Lonchura striata: one gene and its partner. The protein of the gene in region 1 interacts with the protein of each later gene in a biochemical or structural test. Links are inferred from orthologs where the notes say so. Each region holds a gene or a part of one and is shown on either strand. Other genes may lie near its edges.

Region 1 (10,301 bases):
CACAACACCTTTAAAATTACTGCATTACTGCAACAATCCACACACTACCGGCTCCTCAGCTACACAGAGCTGTGTAATTATCAGCAATTCCAAAAGGAATCAACAAACGCCTGCTGGACCTGCTGGAGTCACCCCCTGGAACTGCAAGAACCTCTGCCCTGGCTTCACTCGCCCATCAGCACCGGCAGCTCGGGGCTGGAAAAGGGATTTTTACAAACACATCAAGGCAGACAAGGACAAAAGTTAATTAGGACTATTCATAAGCCTGGCTGGAGGGAGTGCTGCATCCCATCCCTGAAAATTTAATTGCACTCAGCAGAGGAAAGCTAAAACATAGTAATAATAAAAAACCCCTAACAACAGAAAGACATAATTTGGGAATAAAAACTGATTTCAATTTAATTCGAGCACTTGTTGCCCCTATTTATTTCATCAAGTAGTTCATGCAGGATAATGGCTTTACTGTGCATCTAACAACATTAGAAGTTCCTAATAAATTAACAAGTGAAAATTAATGGCTGCTCAGTCCATTAAATCTCGTTAATTTTATTTTTGTTGTAATAATATAGCAATCACAAGTTTACATTATTAAACCAATATTTATTAGAAGAACTAATTTTAATTGGATCCCTGATGTGATAATCCTGTACAGTGTGTATTTCTTTATTTCATCAATTTTTTGCATTTATTTCTCATTATATTTAAATGACTGAGATATTCAGGGTCTTTTCCTAATACTATGAAAGTTAAGCAACCATTTTAAACATTTTATTTCACACAGATTCAACACTTACTACACAATATAATGAGAACATCATGAGTCCCTTCAGAAGCTATTTTAACTCTTCTAGTCTCTTGAGAAAGGGCAGAAGAATGAAAGACAGAGATATTAATATCTGAAAGCATCTTAACGAGTGGTAAAATCCATTTTAGCCTCTCAGTGTCCTGGATAAACATTCCAGTTGTTTTTTCAAGACAGAAGGAAATTTATCACTGGTTTTAATGCAAAGTGTGAGCTGCCCTGCAAAATTCAGGTAAAAAAACACATATATATTTGCAAGAGGGTTTGAATTGTAATGACTGCACGAGAAATTACAAAACTGAGGAGACACCTTAATAAAGGGCTGCTGTGCTATGCCAGCAGCAACTCTTTTAAAGGGAGAGAACATAACTCCTCCCCAGCCTCCCTCTTCTCCCAGCTCCTTGTCTGTGCCACAATAACTGAGTGTGTAGCTGCTCCCTAACTGGTTGTACCAACATTATGGCCGCAGCCTGACAGCAGTGCTTTGTTTTTGGGAACACAACAACTCCACACACATCACCCAAGCTGATGTAAGAGGCAGGAGTAAGTGCAAGGGGGTGACAAAAAGCTGGAGGGGCTGCAGGGAGCAGAAACCTGTGCCCAGAGAGGGAGTTGAGAAAGGCACTGATGGAGAAGCAGCACTGCAGGCAGAAAATCATGGAATCACACAGAAAAAGCTGAACTGGAAGGGACCCACAAGGGTCACCGAGTCCAACTCCTGGCCCCACACAGGAGCAAGGCCATGTCACACCCTGGGCCCAAGAGAGTTGCCCAAACACTCCTGGAGGTCTGTCAGGCTCAGGCTCATGGGGACTCACCCTACCTCCACCTTCAGACCTGGCCTGAGAGTCCCACAGAGGCCACCACAGCTGCTGAGGGCACTGCAGCAGCACAAAGGTTGGGCAGGGCTGTAAAACCTGCCCAGGGCTCGGGCAGGACAGAGGTCACTGCCACGGCTTTGCAGCAGGAAAATCCCCAGCAGGATGGAGCCGGGCAGGGAGATGGCAGCCTGAGGTGCACACCAGGGCTAAGCCCCTGCAGGCGCTCCCAGACAAGGCCAGGAAATATTAAAGCTCCTCACACTCAGGGATAGAAAACTGAAAACAAAGTAGCTTGAAACTGGTATCGAAAAATACATAAATTTGCACATGGACACACAAAGCTGTGGCTGGTCCTTTGCTGCTTACTGCAGTCAGATGGGCAGCAGTCCCAAAAAAGAGTCTGGAATCAGAATATCCCAAGCTGGAAGAGACCCACAAGGAGCAAGTCCAGTGACCCCAAAATCACACCATAGTGTGAAACCACAACATCCTTCAGGGTCTTGCAAACAGCCTCTGCCACTTAATACCCTCACCGTTTTCCTCTTTTCCTGGTATCCCCTCAAACCTAAGAACACGATTAAGTTCTGTAAATATTGTGTGGTCAACTCCCAACACAACAGAAGCTGTGCTCACACCCAAGATGTTCCTGAAATAATTATGTTCCTTCTTTATTATCATTATGTATTAAGTTCCTTGTGTATTATCCCTGGTTTTCCCCACCAAAATGTAAATCATTTAAGGAACACCATATTCAGTGGCTTTTAAGAAGCAAATGTGCCATGTTTTCATTTTAACTGGTACATTCTGCCCTTATCAGATGAGTTCCACAAGAAATAACACCCACCTCTCTTCACAACTGTTTTCTAAATTAAAAAAAAAACCCACTACTTAAAAGAAGGTGATCTTTACATACAGGAATCCTGGTTCCCCTAAAACCACTGGTGATACCAAAACAAATAAATACAGTAATGAGTTCAAAAGAAAAATGTCCATATGAAAATATATTACAAAATATCAGGAGATTTATGTCTTTGTGTGTGTAGCACCACTAAAGCTCTTGAAACAAAGCATTTACTATCATAAAGCAAGACTACAGACACTGCACAGCTTGTAGAAATTACCGAGTGCCTGTCACATGGTCTGCTTTCTGCAGATCAGACCCTAAAAAAGTTGAGTTCAACACTCACCACACTTCATTTGCAGGGCAAATGCTGCTGGTTTCTCAGGTGCACAAAACGGCCTCTCTTCTGCTCAGAACAGTATTAGAAATTCAGGGGTTTTTGCAGGTTTGTATGAATGTCAGATGTAGACGCCACTCTGACCACATTTTTGGGTCTCTGAAGAGAACAGAGCCACCAAAAATCCTGCGAGCAGCTGGAGCAGATCATTGCCTGCTCACAGAGCAAGGCAGAGAGGCCACAAACACCCTCCTGCCTGTGCTGGGTAGGTGTTAATGGCACACTTGTGCCCAGGTTGGTCTGAAAAGTGATAAAAATGCTCATTCTGAAAGCTGGGCTTTCAAGATAACTGTGACAAAGGGTGCATTTTAATGAGCAGAAGAATGTGTCTTCTCAACGTTTATCACCCAATACAGGATGAAAAACCCTTTCTGCCAGGGAGACCCGACTCACTAGGTGAGCTCTGGCACTAAAGGCCACCAGCTCGGGCACAGAGGTTTAAAGAAAGGTCCTGCTGGGGCAGGATGGGCTTTGGCAGCTGTGTCCAGAGGAGCAGGGAAGGAAGATCCTCTAAAGGAGCCGTCCTGTGCAGCAGCAGCACCACCAGAAACCATCAGCTGGTTTGAGACCAGAGTTTTTCAGGTGGAAATGACTTCCTCCTCCAGCAGTAAAAACATGAAGGAAAAATCCTTCTTGCCAGAAGAGTTGCTGAAATCCTTGAAGGCCTCTCCAGCCTTTTACTATCTTCACAGGTTCTCCCAACAGAACACCTGGGGTATCTGTCACACCACCTCAGAAATTGAGCACTTGGAGAAGTAACACATGCTGAGCAAATAAACTAATCCCTGTTTACTAATCTGTCAGGAGATAGCATGTAGTACGTGCTTCCAGATCCCAGCAGATAAACATGACAGCAGGAATACATTTGTTATTCTAATTCCTTAGCCCTACAACAAAACAAATATATTTTCCTGTCCTTTCTTCAAACAATCCCACCTGATCAGTCCAGGAATTTGCTGTGTAGCCCTCATTCCCACAAGCAATGTTTCTGCAAAGCTCGAGCCCTTTTCCATGTAAAACTTGCTCTGTCTCATGGATACAATAGCTAATTTTGGACTTACCCTGCTCCTGCTGGGCCAGAGTCATCACTGGCATGGCTCCACTGTAATTCAGTCTACTGATGCATTACGGACAATGCACAACATGAGCTAATCCTTAATGATGCTTTTCCCCCCTTTCCCCCCTCCCCAGCATATCATTTGAGTAAATAGTAAAATGACATACGTAAAAATTATTAAATGAAAAAAACAAACAGCAAACGAAAACCACGCTAAAATCGTCTTGCAAACACTAATTTCAGATGACACAGTAATCAGATTCACAGATACATTAGGACAAGCAGTGCAGCCCAGAGGAAAAGGCACAGCTCTTAAAGTCACAAGGCCTGGTCAGAGCTGCAGCTCTGCACTGACTTCAGGGATTGTTCCATGCTCCCACCCCATTCCCCAACCTCTGACACACAGATGTTAACATCTCAGCACAGAAAAACCTAACCACGGGCATTTCTAAACAATAAAAAAGCAGATATGAAGTTGTGTTTAAAAATTAATGCCAAGGTATAAGGGGCTCCCACCAAAACAGGCTGATGCCTCCCCCATACCAAGGTTTAAGATCTGTAGGATCCAGGTTCAGTGTCATAAATTAACACAAAATGTTTTAATTTCTGCACAGATTTTCTTTAACAGATGAGGAACAGTCAGGACAATCTCTGAAGGTGAGTCTGCATGACTTGCGACATATGTTTGCGTTGTTATTTATTTTCAAACTTTACCTTTTTTCTTTTAATAAAGCATTGTGTTTGGCCCAACACTTTTCTTCCTTTAAATCATAAAATATCAAATCCTTCCTTATCTAAACCACTCTGTTAGGAGTCACAGAAGTTCCACGGGCCTTCATGCTCTGCTCCCTAACGGGTCAGCATCAGCCAGACACAATACCCAGGTCACAGCAGCAGGGCTGCTCCAGAAATTTTCTTCTTTTGAAATGGTAAATATTACAGAGAAGTGCTTTAAATGGTAAATATTTCAGGGAATTATCTACGTGGAAAGCACGCTGCTTACCAAGAACTTGAAAAATATAGATTTTAAGGCATTTGTATTGCGTGGTGGCTCTACAGGTTTTGATTTCTGCTTCAAGTAGAAGCCGGAGCAACTCTAACAAAGGCTGAGAGCTCTCATTTGCATTACCGGCCAAAATCTTGGCCAAAGTCATTCAGCACCAAAAAAGATAAGGAGGCTTTATTTTTCCTTTTAAAAAAACACTGCAGTTGTTGGAAGAAAATTTCAGGAGCTCCAAACATCCACATTTCTAAGCTACTTGCTTCACTTTTTCATGCAACAGATGCTGCTTTGTATCAGCTCCTGCATATTAAATCATTCTGACAAGCAAGAAAGCATACATTTGTTTGTGCCAGAGAGAAGCATGAATACACACACACACACAGATATCTTCTCACGCAGAAGCACACAATTATGCAGCATTCAAATATTTGGGATGAACTTTGGCCTTTGCTTAAAAAAAAAAAAATACTCTCAAACACAATCAGGAACAGACCCAGCAGTCATCTGGCTGAGCTCACAGAATTCAACAATCTGCAGCAATAAAACACCACTTGTGGGCAGCCATTTGAAAGTTACTTGGAAAATTGTTCTTAGATGGGATAGTTTTATACACGTCTTTTATGATTTATGATGGCCCTGTGGATCGAGTTCGGAATGGAGACTGAAAATAAAATCTATGTTCATTCAAAAAATGGAAGAAAAAAAATCAGTTATATTCACCCTGACATGTGTGGGGTTTTTTTTGGTTTTTTTTTTTTTTTCACTCCAAACGACCTCCTTCAGCTCTGCCATTTGCATTCCCGATTTAAAAAGTAACTCGAAAACATCAGCAGAGCAGGGCTCTAAATGACCCCTTCGGAGGAGTAAGGAAGAGGCCAAACAACCCAAACAAAACCGTTTTCCTAACGCGCTAATCACAAGAAAATCTAAATGCAACAGCACTTGAGAACAAGCTGAAACTTCTGACAATAAGAGTGGAACTGCTCCGCAGCGCTTCCAACTTTGTTTTTTTTTTTTTTCTTTTTTATGATCTCGGCTCGAGGCATATTTTCTCCACTACGTTTTCTCTCTCGTTACTACAGAGTAATTCAGTTCTGCAGGCAGAACGGGGTTTTTCTTAGCTCGGTAAGGAGCAGGCAGAGAGGACGGACACCGCGCCGAGCCCTGCCCGGCCGTGCCGGGGCCCGGGGGTCCCTGAGGGTCCCTCGGGGTCCCTCGGGGTCCCTGCGGGTCCCTCGGGGTCCCTCGGGGTCCCGGCGGGTCCCTCGGGGTCCCTCGGGGTCCCGGCGGGTCCCTCGGGGTCCCGGCGGGTCCCTGCGGGTCCCTCGGGGTCCCGGCGGGTCCCTCGGGGTCCCGGCGGGTCCCTCGGGGTCCCTCGGGGTCCCTGCGGGTCCCGCACGCCCCTCGAGCCGCGCCCCCCGCACCCATACCTGGGGATGGTGATGCACTTGGTGTTGATGTTCTGCGTGGTGATCGCCTTCTCCAGCTCGTCCAGCTGCCCCGTCTTCTTCAGCTTCTTCACCAGGCTCTTCACCGCCTTCTCGCACCATTTCTCCTCCTGCCCGTTCTGCTCGCCTTTCTTCCAGCCCAGGAGCCGCTTGACGATGGGAGGAGTGAAGGGCAGGATGGAGGACATGCTGGCTGTGCCGGCAGCGCCCGCCGCCGGCTCCGCGCTCTGCCCGCCGCCGGCTCCGCCGCCTCACACCCGCGGCCCGGCCCGGCCCCGCCGCTGCCTCAGCGCCGCGGGCCCGCGGCTCCAAACTTTGCCCGGAGTTCGCCGCCTCTCCCCGGCGGCGGCGGCAGCTCCCTCCTCCTCCCCCTCCTGCCCCGCTCTGTGTGCGCGGAGAGGCGCCCACTCCAGCTCATTCCCAGTCTGTCTCTCATGCAAATTGCCTGCTGGCCGCCCCGGCCCGGCTTCCACCCCCTCCTTCCCTCCCTCCCTCGGCGGCGTGTTTGGGAGGGAAGGAGGGCGGGAGGCTGCGCGCCTCCATCGCCGCCCGCGGAGGCCCCGGCTCCCTGAGGGGGACCGCGCTCCAGAAAAGCCCGGCAGCACGGCAGGGAGAGGTGCCCGGACAAACCCCACCGGAAAAGAAACACAGGCTTAAAGCCCCACAAGCGTAAAGCCCCACAAGTGTAAAGCCCGCTCAGGGAGGGGAAGGGGACAAGAGGCTCCACAGCGTGGCTGCAGCCCCTGCCACGGGCATTTCATCCGTGGAATCTGTTCCCACACAGATACCTGAACACAGCTCGGCCAGCCGTGCTCAGACAATTAGCTGCTTTTTGTTCCAACTCCTTTAATTTAATATTCCATTCCCTCATCTTTCCACCCCGAGCAACAGGTACCCGGATAATTTTTGCCCTGTATCAGACAAAAAGGACACCCTGGAGGTGTTTACCGCTGGAGCTGGTCAGAAATTCTCAGACGGAATATTTTTGTCAGAGGATGGCAATTTGTTCACATCTAGGTGTTTTGTAGAGATGCTTCGGTTTGGGCTGACTCAGGGTGGCATCCAGGTACATTTCCAGTTTCGAACTTTCCATCACTGAGCAGACTGGGTTGTCACACTCCCCGGTCTCAAGAAGCCCAAGTTCTAAAAAAACATATAATTATAAACTTTAGCTCCTCAAAGCAGCAGTTCTCTGTTAAACCACCCCAAAATGGTGCTGAGTGAGGAGCCTCAGAGGCACCTGCAGAGTCACCAGGTGCCTCCAACCAGGCTGGTTCCTTTTCTCAACTCCAGCTGCATCTCATCTCCCTGCAACAGCTGCCCAGGAGCAACAGGGTGAAAGTTTTGTGGGACTTGGCTCCCGAATTCGGAATTTTCAAGCTGAGCTATGCTTCCCAGTTCTCTCCATCCTATCAGAAGGGACGGTGGTGAGCCCGAATTTGGGAAGCCCGTGGGGCTGCTCGGCTGCTCCCAGACACGCAGGGTCTTGCCAACCCACGTTCTCATATTCCAGGATCCAGAGTAACCCAGTGGGGAGACTCCTCGAAAGCTGGCATCCCAAACCCCTGTGCCTGTGGATTCGGAGCAGCCAGCCATCCAGATTGCCTCGTGGCAACTCAGGAACCGATGGCATCACACAGCATCTGAGGCAACTGCCTTGCCTTTCACAGGCACTTCAAACACAGGCTTTATTCCAAATTGACAGTACCAATTTTTGAAATATTAATATTGGCTACAAATTAAATATGCCCTTATCTTTTTTTTTTTTTTCCCTTCAGCATTCTCATATTATTCCCCAACATGCATTCCCTGAGTGTCTTGAATTTTGGAGGCTCACCACTAAAATTTTGGACTGTTGCCCTGACCCAGTTTTTGGCTGCTTTGGTTGAAGTACAAAGATGTGGAACCCCTGCAGATTATCCCAACATCATTTGAGGAAATATCTCCTGAATACCTCTAAAGCACTGCAAAAAAATTACGGATACTATTTACACTAAAAGCAGGATGCCTCAATTACTAACTTGCTAGCACTGTTGACTTTCTGTATGTTTGTGTTTTTCTGAAAAGGCCAAGTTTCTGATAGTCTGTGATTATTTAAAGGTCTGAATTTTTATTTAAAAGTTGTTCACAACTTTAGAAAATGGCTTGAATATGTGGACCAAGTGAAACACAGATGGGGAAGTTAAATACATTTTTTAAATGCAGAAATACATTCTTACTACATTTTGAAATGGGGTGAAGTTAAATAATCTTTCTCTATTTTCTCAATTCTTGGCCCAGCACATTTTGCAAGCCCAGAGGCCGAAGGACCTGCCTCAGACCTGGTAAGTCCATATTACATCAGGGTGATCTCAGAGCAGATTTCTCTTCTGAGGACCAACATTTCTTTCTGGCTCTTTTGGATAGAAAACCACAGGCACTATTCCATGCTTTCTTCATCCAGAAAGATATGATAATACTCAAATCTCATCACTACACTCAGAATTCATGCTGTGACCTCGGTTCAGCAGAGCTTCTAGAATTTTCTGTCCATGTTCAAGGTCTGATCTTCACTCCTCACAGTCATATCACAAGTCATGGTCTGGGTACATTTGAATAAGGGGAAGGAGAGGAAGAGCTGAGTGGTTTGCTCGTGCTTGTAGAGTGATTTAGTGGCAAAAGGGTGAAGATAATTTGCTAAACACTAAACCAAACTGTGTCTCTCTTGCTTACAACCTCTAAATGAGGTGTAGGCAGCTCAACCACTGATCTAAACTCTGGGCCACAGCAGCACTGAAAACACTCCTGAGAACAAACAAACAGTTGGGCTTGGGATGTGGGATACATTTTTAAACTTAAGGCCATGACATTTAATGGAACAGCTTGTGTGCTTGCTGGGGTTACCTGTCAGAATGAACTGTTCTATGAAAATATGACTTTCTGAACCCCTAGACAGTAATCCTTTATTTCAGAGAGTTTTGGACACTCTCATAGTGGAAAAATTAACAGGAAAAGCAGGACCGTCCCAATTCTGCGTGGTCTGGATCCGACTGCTGGTTTACAAAATGTCTGACGTCTTGGAAGCCACCACTAAGCAGGAGAAGTTTATGCTTCTTTTTGTGATTGTGCTCATTTTTTGTGGAACAATTTGTTCTTTACTTTTAAACAGTCATTATCTTTGCCTGTGTTTGGAATTCTAGAGGTTCAGGGCCACAGTTTGCTCTCACTGAGAAATAAAGATATATGTAGTCTGCAATAATGGGAGGAAACCAAACACTTCAAGAAAAAAACCCAAACCCTTTACAGCTATTTTGCATTTCTTAACCTTTTAGACTAGAACCTTAAAAATATTGAAAAATAATATCTGCATACCTTGGGTTTTGATATGATTAATGAATAGGACCAGGATTAAAATTCTCCTTTCACAAAGATAAAAATCAGCTCTGCTTTAGGAACAATATAAAATTAGCATGAGAAACAAGAAGGTGTTCACTGGAGCTCAGCTGTGCATATATGTACCTTTATCAAAAATATTTTTAACAGCTTCAGAGACTGAAGAATTGTTCTGTGCTTTGCTCCATGTTCCCTCTATATCCTTTGAGTAGTGAGAAGGGATTTTTGGGGCGAGCAGGAAGGTGTTCAGGGCGAGCTGGAACAGGCAGGATGGAGGCAGCGTGGCCAGAGCACGCTGTTCCCTGCCTGGGCTTGGGCTCTGAGGGATCCTGGTGCCTGCTCCAACAGCTCCCAGCGTGCCACTGTGGCTGGGTTGAAAATCAGGGAGTGGTTGAGAAGCAGCTTCTGAGGTGCTGCCCCCGTTTCTACCTCACTGGCTGAAATATTAAATGTATTTCCTACCTGTACGTGGAATTTTACAATTCCCAGGTGGACAAGCTGGGAAGCTCATAGCAGACAGGATGGTGGCCTCGACTCTTCTTGTCCAGTGTTCTCCATGA
Region 2 (10,301 bases), on another chromosome or scaffold:
TCATCATCGTCATTGGTGTCATCTTCATCATCATTGGTGTCATCTTCATCGTCGTCATCATCATCGTCATTGTCATCATCATTGGTGTCATCTTCATTGTCATCATCATCATCGGTGTCATCGTGTCTTCACCGTCATTGTCATCATCGTCGTCATTGGTGTCAGCATCGTCTTCATCGTCACCATCATTGGTGTCATTTTCATCATCGTCGGTGTCATCTTCATCATCATCGTCATGGTCTTCACTGGTATTGTCATCATCGTCGTCATTGGTGTCATCTTCATCATCATCATCATCATCAGTGTCATTGTTGTCTTCATTGTCATTGTCATCATCACCATCACCATTGGTGTCATCCTGGTCTCCATCGTCATTGTCATCATCATCAGTGTCATTGTCATCATTGTCATCATCGGTGTCATCGTCATCATCATCATCGGTGTCATTGTCTTCATCGTCATTGTCATCATCATCAGTGTCATTGTCATCATTGGTGTCATTGTCAACATCATCGGTGTCATCATCGTCATCGGTGTCATTGTCATCATCAGTGTCATTGTCATCATTGTCGTCATCGGTGTCATCGTCATTGTCATCATCGGTGTCGTCTTCTTCATCGTCATTGTCATCATCATCAGTGTCATTGTCATCATTGGTGTCATTGTCAACATCATTGTCATCATCATCGTCATCGGTGTCATTGTCACCATCATTGGTGTCATCATCGTCATTGGTGTCATTGTCAACGTCATTGGTGTCATCGTCATCAGTGTCATCATCATTGGTATCGTCTTCACCGTCATTGTCATCATCATTGGTGTCATCATCTTCATCATCTGGCACTGTCATCATCATCATCACTGTTGTCATTGTTGGCCGTTGCCACGGCTCATCATCGTCACCGTCGTTGGTCATCGTCATTGTCACCATTGTTGGTCATCGTCACTATTGTTGGCCATGGCCATTGTCACCATAGTTGGTCATTGTCATCGTCACCATCGTTGCCCATGGCCATTGTCACCATAGTTGGCCATTGTCACCACAGTTGGTCATTGTCACCATCATTGGTCATTGTCACCATCATTGGTCATTGTCATCGTCACCATCGTTGCCCATGGCCATTGTCACCATAGTTGGCCATTGTCACCATCATTGGTCATTGTCACCATTGTTGGTCAATGTCAACTTTGTTGGCCACGGTCATTGTCACCATCATTGGCCATGGCCATTGTCACCATCACCACTGTTGGTCATCGTCATCGTCATCGTTGCCACCGTCACCGCTGCGCTCCCGGAGCCGCGACCACCGGGAGCCGCCTCCGGCCGACCCGACGTTCCCAAAAACTGCAGGAATTCCCCGAAAACTGCGGGAATTCCCCGAAAACCGCAGGAATTCCCCGAAAACTGCGGGAATTCCCCGAAAACCGCGGGAATTCCCCCAAAACCGCAGGAATTCCCCCAAAACCACAGGAATTCCCCGAAAACCGCGGGAATTCCCCGAAAACCGCAGGAATTCCCCCAAAACCACAGGAATTCCCCGAAAACCGCGGGAATTCCCCGAAAACCGCAGGAATTCCCCCAAAACCGCAGGAATTCCCCGAAAACCGCGGGAATTCCCCGAAAACCGCAGGAATTCCCCGTTTCCGCTCCCGCCCGGGAGGACGCGGAACGATGGAGGAATTGTGGGATCTGGAGTTTGTGGTGGGCGGGATTCCCGCGGATTCCATGGATTTCCTGCGGATTCCGTGGATTTTCCAGATTCCATGGATTCCTGAGGATTTCCCGTGGATTCCATGGATTTCCTGTGGATTTCCCGTGGATTCCATGGATTTCCCATAGATTCCATGGATTTCCTGTGGATTCCATGGATTCTTGAGGATTTCCTGTGGATTCCATGGATTTCCTGTGGATTCCTGTGGATTCCCAAGGATTTCCATGGATTCCTGTGGATTCCCATGGATTCCCGTGGATTCCTGAGAATTCCCATGGATTTCCTGAGGATTTCCATGGATTCCCGTGGATTCCTGAGAATTCCCATGGATTTCCTGAGGATTTCCATGGATTCCTGTGGATTCCCGTGGATTCCTGAGAATTCCCATGGATTTCCTGAGGATTTCCATGGATTCCTGTGGATTCCTGAGAATTCCCATGGATTTCCTGAGGATTTCCATGGATTCCTGTGGATTCCCATGGTTTTCCTGCGGATTCCTGAGAATTCCCAGAGATCGCCATGGCTTCCCTTGGAGTTAACAGATTCCCATCGATTCCGACGGATTCCCATGAATTCCGTAGATTCCTGGAGATCTCCACAGATGTCCCACGGATTCCCGCGGAATTCCTGAGAATTTCCACGGATTCCCACAGATTCCTATGGACTTCCATGGATTCCTGTGGATCCACATGGATTTCGGTGGATTCCTGAGGATTTCCATGGATTCCCATGGATTTCCTGTGGATTCCCACGGATTCCTGAGAATTCCCATGGATTTCCTGAGGATTTCCACAGATTCCTGTGGATTCCCATGGATTTCTTGAGGATTTCCACGGATTCCTGTGGATTTCCTCAGGATTTCCACGGATTCCCATGGATTTCCTGTGGATTTCCACGGATTTCTGTGGATTTCCTCAGGATTTCCATGGATTCCCATGGATTTCCTGTGGATTCCCATGGATTCCCATAGATTCCTGAGGATTTCCGTGGATTCCCGTGGATTTCCTGAGGATTTCCATGGATTTCTGTGGATTTCCTCAGGATTTCCATGGATTCCCATGGATTTTCTGTGGATTCCCGCGGATTCCTGAGGATTTCCATGGATTCCCGTGGAGTCAACAGATTCCCATCGATTCCGACGGATTCCCGTGAATTCCCGCGGATTCCCGGAGACCTCCGCGGGTTCCCGAGGATTCCCGGGAATTCCGGCCCTGCCAAGGCACTTCACTCCGTGCGGAGGATGATGTGGATCCCGGATTCCGTGAACACGGGGCCGCTCATCTCGCCGGCCCGCAGCGCGAACGAGGCGTCCTCGAACGGCTTCTGCATCTGCCCTGCGACCAAAACCCCCAAAAATCAAAACAAAACCCAAAAAAACGGGATTTGGGGCTCTTCCCGGAGAAAAATCCGGGATTTCAACACCGGGGGAGGCGATTCCGGGAGTTTGGATGGAGCACGGTTGGAATTACGGGGGATTCGGGGTTGATTTGGGGCATAAATCCCTGGGAATTGGAGGATTTGGGGAAACAACCCCTGAAATGGCTGATTTTAGGGATAAATCCCCTGGAATTGGTGGATTTGGGGAAACAACCCCTGAAATGGCTGATTTTAGGGATAAATCCCCTGGAATTGGTGGATTTGGGGAAACAACCCCTGAAATGGCTGATTTTAGGGATAAATCCCCTGGAATTGGATGGATTCTGTGAATTTTTGGGGAAACAACCCCTGAAATGGCTGATTTTAGGGATAAATCCCCTGGAATTGCATGATTTGGAGATTTTTTTGGGGGGGAGAAAAAGTCCTGAAATTGGTGGATTTGGGGTTTTTTGGGGGTGAATTCCCTGGATTTGAGGGTTTTTTTTGAGGGGGGATAAATGTCTTGGAATTCCTTGGATTTGGGTCTTTTTTTGGAGAGTAAATCCTCTGGATTTGGGGGGGTTTGGGGATGATTCCCCTGGAATTGATGGATTTGGGGATTTTTTGGGATGAATCCCTCACCTCTCCCGAACGCTCCCAGGTCTCCTCCAGCCTTGGCCGAGCTGCAGTCGCTGAACTGCGAAGCCAAAGACTCAAAATCCTCCTCTCCCGATTTGATTTTCTGGATGTAACCTGGAAGAAAAACGGGAAAACCCCAAATTTAGGGATCAAAACCACTCCCAAAATTCCCTGGGTGCCGCAGATTCCATGGGAAATGAGACAATCCCAAAATATCCTCAAATCTACCCCAAAACCAACATTCCTGGTTTTTTTTTCCCGAAAAGTCATCACTCACTCCCACTTTTTTTTCCCCCCCAAATTCACTATTCCCAGTTTTTTTTTCCCCAAAAATCGGTCATTTCAGGGAGCTTTTTTTTTCCCCCAAAAAAAAGGGAAAATTGGAGAAAAGAACCATCCAGGGAAGGAATTCTAGGATGAGTTTTGGGAAATGGTGGAATTTTAGGGCTGACTTCTGGGAAAAGGTGGAATTTGGGGTGGAATCCGGGGAGATCCCAAATCCTTTGGAATTCCTGGGATTCATTCCCAGAGTTTCTATTTGCCATTGGCGAGCTTTTATAAAGAATGTCCAGCTCCTGAGCTCATTAATGAAGCCCAGTATCCCCAGTATGCCCAGTATCCCATCACTCCCAGTATTCCCAGTACCCTGAGTATCCCATCATTCCCAGTATCCCCAGTATCCCATCACTCCCAGTATTCCCAGTACCCTGAGTATCCCATCATTCCCAGTATCCCCAGTATCCCATCACTCCCAGTACCCCAAGTATCCCAGTATCACCAGTATCCCATCAGCCCATCACCCCCAGTATCCCCCCAGTATATCCCAGTATCCCCCCAGTATCACTCCCAGTTTATCCCAGTATCACTCCCAGTTTATCCCAGTATCATTCCCAGTTTATCCCAGTACCATTCCCAGTTTATCCCTGACCATTGACGAGCTCCAGCGCCTCCTCCTTGGAGCGGGTGATGCGCTCCTGCCTCCAGCTGAGTCTCCCCAGTAACCCCCCAGTATTACTCCCAGTTTATCCCAGTATCCCCCCAGTATCACTCCCAGTTTATCCCAGTATCACTCCCAGTTTATCCCAGTATCATTCCCAGTTTATCCCAGTATCCCCCCCAGTTTATCCCAGTTTATCCCTGACCATTGACGAGCTCCAGCGCCTCCTCCTTGGAGCGGGTGATGCGCTCCTGCCTCCAGCTGAGTCTCCCCAGTAACCCCCCAGTATCACTCCCAGTTTATCCCAGTATCCCCCCAGTATCACTCCCAGTTTATCCCAGTACCACTCCCAGTTTATCCCAGTTTATCCCTGACCATTGACGAGCTCCAGCGCCTCCTCCTTGGAGCGGGTGATGCGCTCCTGCCTCCAGCTGGACGGGCGCCGGGACTGGTTGTGCTTCACCAGGAGGTGCGAGCAGCGCACCCGGCCCGGCTCCGCCCGGCCCGCGCCGCTCGGCCGCTCCCATTGGCTGGCGTTCGTCAGGTGGTTGAAGTAGTACACCCTGCCTGGGGGGTATTGATCCGCTATTGGTTATTGATTACTGATTGGTTACCGATCGGTATCAAAAAATTGGTTATTGGTACCAAAACCTCCTCACAGGCCCCAGTATTGACCCCACTGGCTGGCGTTCACCAGGTGGTTGAAGTAGTACACGTGTCCTGCAGGGTTACTAATCGGTTATCAATCAATATTGGTCGGCTATTGGTTATTGATCACTGATCATTTATTGATTTGCACTGATAAATCAGCTTATTGACATCAATTCCCACCTCAATGACCCCACTGGCTGATCTTTGCCTGGTGGTTGAAGCAGTACCCCCTCCCTGGGGAGCTATTGATCAAATATCAGTTATTGATTAATTATAGGTTATTGATCAGTGATTGCTTACTGATTGCTGCTGAAAATTGAGGTGATTAAACCCAAAATGCAGGTTAAGGACCCTAAAAATCCATTGAGCCCCCCCAAATTCCCTTCATGAGGGGGATCTCCCTAAAATTCCCCTCACCAGGGGGATCCCACCCAAATTCCCCTCATGAGGGAGATTCCCCCCCAAATTCCCCTCAGGAGGGAGATTCCCCCCCCCAAATTCCCCTCACGAGGGGAATCCTCCCCAAATTCCCCTCAGGAAGAGGATCCCCCCCAAATTCCCCTCAGGAAGGGGAACCCCCCTAATTCCCTTTGACGCCCCCCCAAATTCCCCTCACCAGGGGGATCCCCCCCCAAATTCCCCTCAGGAGGGAGATCCTCCCCCCCAAATTCCCCTCATGAGCGGGACCCCCCAAATTCCCCTCACGGAATTGCCCCCCCTCTTCCCTGAGACGAACCCCCCCCCCTCAGAACCCCCCTAAATTGGCGACCCCCCCAAATTCCCCTCACGACATTGACCCCCCCTCCCTGAAGCGATGCCCCCTCACGACCCTCCCTCAATTCGCCGCCCCCTCCTCAAATCCCCCTCACGCACCCCCCCCACCACGCCCCCTCACCCCCTCCAAAACCCAACCCCGCCGCCCCCACCGCCCTTTCCCACCTCCCCCATGGCCGCAGCTCCTTCCCCGCGCTTCCCCCCAGCCCTCAGGCCCTCACCGGAGCTGCGGCTCATTCGCTTCTCCCACCCCGCGGGCAGCTTCTCCTCCTCCGCCATCTTCCCTTCCCTCTGCCCGCCCTGCGCGGCCCGCCCACACCGCCACGCGGAGGGGCGGGCAAACCAGCGCTTCTCGCGTTCCTATTGGTCGGCAGAGACGATGCGCCCCTCAGGGCATCATCTTATTGGCGGAGCCGCCTGTCAATCAAGCGCGCGGTGAAGCCGAGACGCGCGCGGGAAAGGCGGGATGGTGGCCGTGCGTGGCTAAATTTAACCGGAACGCAAAGACGCAGCGCTGCCTCTACTGTGCCCGGTTAGAGCGTCCCGGTCCCACCGGAGCAAAGAAATCAACCGGAGCCTCCAAAAGCAGCTTTATTATCGACAAACCCAACGCTACAGAACGCGCGCGGCCGGTTTAAAGCCTCTACGTGGCGCCGGTTTGGTCACACGGGGGATGGGAGGGGGAGAACGGAGGATGGCGGAGGAGAACGGGGAACACCGGGAGAACCGGGGGGACACCGAGAGGCAGCCTCTCGTGGTCGTTCATCCCCATCGCGGAGCTCATCCGCAGCGGGGATTAACGGCAACGGGGCCGCCGCTGTGGCGGGCCCGGAAGTGACGTCACGGGCACGCCGGCGCGTTGCCTGGCAACGGCGTTTGTTGTTAGCAACGGCCAAGATGGCGGCAGCGGCCCGGGCCCCCTCGCGGGTGGGTACTGGGGGTTACTGGGAGGGACTGGGGGGGATCTTTGCCTTCCGTGGGGGGGCTCTGAGGGGTGGCTGGGGACAACGAGGATTGGGAGGGGACAAATGGCGCCCGAAGGCGCCGCAGCCTCGCCTCTTTCCCGCTTTTTCCTCGCCTTCCCCCCCCCCCCATTTCTTTCCCTTTCTTCCCCCCTTGCCCTTTTTTCCCGCCTTTTCCACACCTTTCTTTCCCTCATCCCCGCTTGCCCCTTTTTCCGCCCTTTTTTCCCCGCCTTTCTCCCCCTTGCCTTTTTTCCCGCCTTTTTTTTCCCGCCTTTTCTACCCCTTTCTTCCCCTCATCTCCCCCTTGAGCTTTTTTCCCCGCCCTTTTTTTTCCCGCCCTTTAAGTCTCCCCTCAGGGACCCGGCGCCGAGGGAAACTGGGAATGGGTCCACAGCACCGACTACAAATCCTCCTTCACGTGAGCTCCCAAAATCCCCAAATTCCGGCCAAAATCCCGGAATTCCGGCCAAAATCCCCAAATTCCGGCCAAAATCCCGGAATTCCGGCCAAAATCCCAAAACTCCACCCCAAAATCTCCAAATTCCAGCCAAAATCCCAAAAATCCACCCCGAAATCCTGAAATTCCACCCCAAAATCCCAGAATTCCGGCCAAAATCCCGAAAATCCACCCCGAAATCCTGAAATTCCACCCCAAAATCCCCAAATTCCACCCCAAAATCTCCAAATTCCACCCCAAAATCCCAAAATTCCACCCCAAAATCCCGAAAATCCACCCCAAAATCCCAAAATTCCACCCCAAAATCCCCAAATTCCGGCCAAAATCCCAAAATTCCACCCCAAAATCCCTGAATTCCGGCCAAAATCCCAAAATTCCACCCCAAAATCCCCAAATTCCAGCCAAAATCCCGAAAATCCACCTCAAAATCCCGAAAATCCACCCCAAAATTCCACCCCAAAATCCCCAAATTCCACCCCAAAATCCCCGAATTCCGGCCAAAATCCCGAAAATCCACCCCAAAATCCCAAAATTCCACCCCAAAATCCCCAAATTCCGGCCAAAATCCTGAAAATCCACCCCAAAATCCCAAAATTCCGGCCAAAATCCCAAAATTCCACCACAAAATCCCCAAATTCCGGCCAAAATCCTGAAAATCCACCCCAAAACCCCAAAATTCCACCCCAAAATCCCAGAATTCCGGCCAAAATCCCGAAAATCCACCCCAAAATCCTGAAATTCCACCCCAAAATCCCCAAATTCCACCCCAAAATCTCCAAATTCCAGCCAAAATCCCGAAAATCCACCTCAAAATCCCCAAATTCCACCCCAAAATCCCAGAATTCCACTCCAAAATCTGGGATTCCACCCCAAAATCCCAAGATTCTGTCCCAAAATCAGAATTTTGGGAAAAAGAAATTGTAATTTTGGGAAATTTTTGTAACATTCCCCCCTAAAAATCAGAATTTTGGGCGATTTCCCTCCCCAAATCTCGGGATTTTTGCAAAATTCCCCCTAAGAATCGGAATTTTGGGGGAAAAAATCGGAATTTTGGGGGAAAAAATCAGAATTTTGTGGGGAAAAAAATTGGAATTTTAGGGGGAAAAAATCAGAATTTTGTGGGAAAAAGTCGGAATTTTGGGGGGTAAAAGTCGGATTTTTGGGGTAAAAAAAAATCGGAATTTTGGGCAATTTCACCCCCCAAAGCTCGGGGTTTTTCCTGCATCCCTCCCTAAAAGTGTGAATTTTCCGTGGGAGTTTTTTCCCGTCCCGAATGCCAATTTTTTCCCCCCAAAATTCCAATTCCCCGAGCCCACAGAAACACAAATCCCCCCGAAAATCCCCAAAATCCCACATCCCCCACCTCCCTGCGGCCCCGCGCCAAATTCCCAAAAAAACCGGGAATTTCCCAGCGGAATAAACGGAATTTCCTGCTTCGGTTTGGCCAAATTTCAGATTTCTTTTTCTTTTTTTTCCCCAGATTTTTCCCAGGTTTTCAGGTAAAAATTCCCAATTTTTTTCTGGTTCTAAGAGGAAATTGGAGATTAAGAAATTTGGGGATTTTGTGATCCTGTTCCCCAATTTTCCCCCACCCTGCGTGAAATTCCCAAAAAAATGGGAATTTTTTTAGCAGAATAAACGGAATTTCCTGCTTCGGTTTGGCAGAATTTGCATTTTTTTTCCTGGATTTTTCCCAGATTTTCAGATAAAAATTCCCAATTTTCAATTTTTTTAAAAATTAATTTTAATTTTTAAAATTAATTTAAATTTTTTTCCCCCGGATTTTTCCCAGATTTTTGTGTGGTTTTAGGGTAAAAATCCTCAATTTTTTTGTGGTTTTAAGGGAAAATATTCAGAAAGTTGGGAATTTTTTAGCCTCGTTCCCAATTTTCCCCCACCCCACTGTGAAATTCCCAAAAAAACCAGGAATCTTTTAGTGGAATAAACAGAATTTCCTGCTTCAGTTTGGTCAAATTTGGGATTTTCTGCATTTTTTTCCAGGATTTTTCCCAGATTTTCAGGTAAAAATTCCCAATTTCCTGTGCTGATTATTGGGAATTTTTTGGGGAAATATCTCTTTTTCTTGGCTTCTTTTTTTTTAAATAAAATTAGGGAATAAAAAGTGGGGGGGAGGGGGCGAAGAGGAAAAAGTTGGGAATGAAAAGTGGGAAAAAAGGAGGAAAAATGGGAAAGAAAAGAGGAAAAAAAAAGGAAAAATGGGAATGAAAAGAGGAAAAAAATGGGAAAGAAAAGAGGAAAAAAAGGGGAAAAAATGGGAATGAAAAGAAGTAAAATCAGAATTTTTGGTCCCATCCTGAAAATTCCTGGGATTTTTATTTCTTCGATTTTTGGGATAAAAGCTCAGGCATCCGCAGGGAATTGGGGCTCCTTTTCCAGAGGGGAAATTCCCAAAATTTGGGAGGAGATTCCGGAAGCTTCTGAGGCTTTCCCGGCGTTCCCAGAGGGGTTTTCAATTCCTGGGATTTTCTGGGGAGAGAAAAAAAAGGGAAAAAAACCCAAAATTCATATTTTGGTCCCAAAATTCCATCCCAAATTTCCTCTTTTTCACTGAGGGAATAAAAAAAGCGGCACCGGGGGGGATTTGAGGGAATTCAGATAATGAAATCCCAAATTTCCAGCGTTTCCTGAGGGATAAAATCCCATTTTTATCCTAAAATTTTGGCTTCAAATTCCCTTTTTGGGGTTCCATCCTCACCGGTGGCCGTGTCCCTGGCTAAAATCCCGGTTTTTTCCCGGGATTCTCACCGGTGTCCCTGACTAAAATCCCGGTTTTTTCCCGGGATTCTCAC

What was found. The genes of interacting proteins can lie anywhere in the genome.
Region 2: the proteins of SMAD3 (region 1) and PIN1 form a complex in vitro, tested with the Homo sapiens proteins (2 studies listed by BioGRID, with this or other methods). The link is inferred for Lonchura striata from reciprocal best matches to the Homo sapiens genes SMAD3 and PIN1.

Annotation. Positions count from the first base shown.
Region 1 is NC_134613.1:23,083,195-23,093,495, reverse strand, and holds the start of SMAD3 (mothers against decapentaplegic homolog 3), read right to left. Parts: upstream 6,637-10,301; 5' UTR 6,558-6,636; coding exon 6,352-6,557; intron 1-6,351. UniProt on the Homo sapiens protein: Receptor-regulated SMAD (R-SMAD) that is an intracellular signal transducer and transcriptional modulator activated by TGF-beta (transforming growth factor) and activin type 1 receptor kinases.
Region 2 is NC_134623.1:1,533,618-1,543,918, reverse strand, and holds PIN1 (peptidyl-prolyl cis-trans isomerase NIMA-interacting 1), read right to left. Parts: upstream 6,377-10,301; 5' UTR 6,349-6,376; coding exon 6,291-6,348; intron 5,212-6,290; coding exon 5,020-5,211; intron 3,822-5,019; coding exon 3,711-3,821; intron 3,047-3,710; coding exon 2,937-3,046; 3' UTR 1,101-2,936; downstream 1-1,100. Other genes in the region: CHCHD5 (coiled-coil-helix-coiled-coil-helix domain-containing protein 5), read right to left, coding at 9,853-9,978. UniProt on the Homo sapiens protein: Peptidyl-prolyl cis/trans isomerase (PPIase) that binds to and isomerizes specific phosphorylated Ser/Thr-Pro (pSer/Thr-Pro) motifs.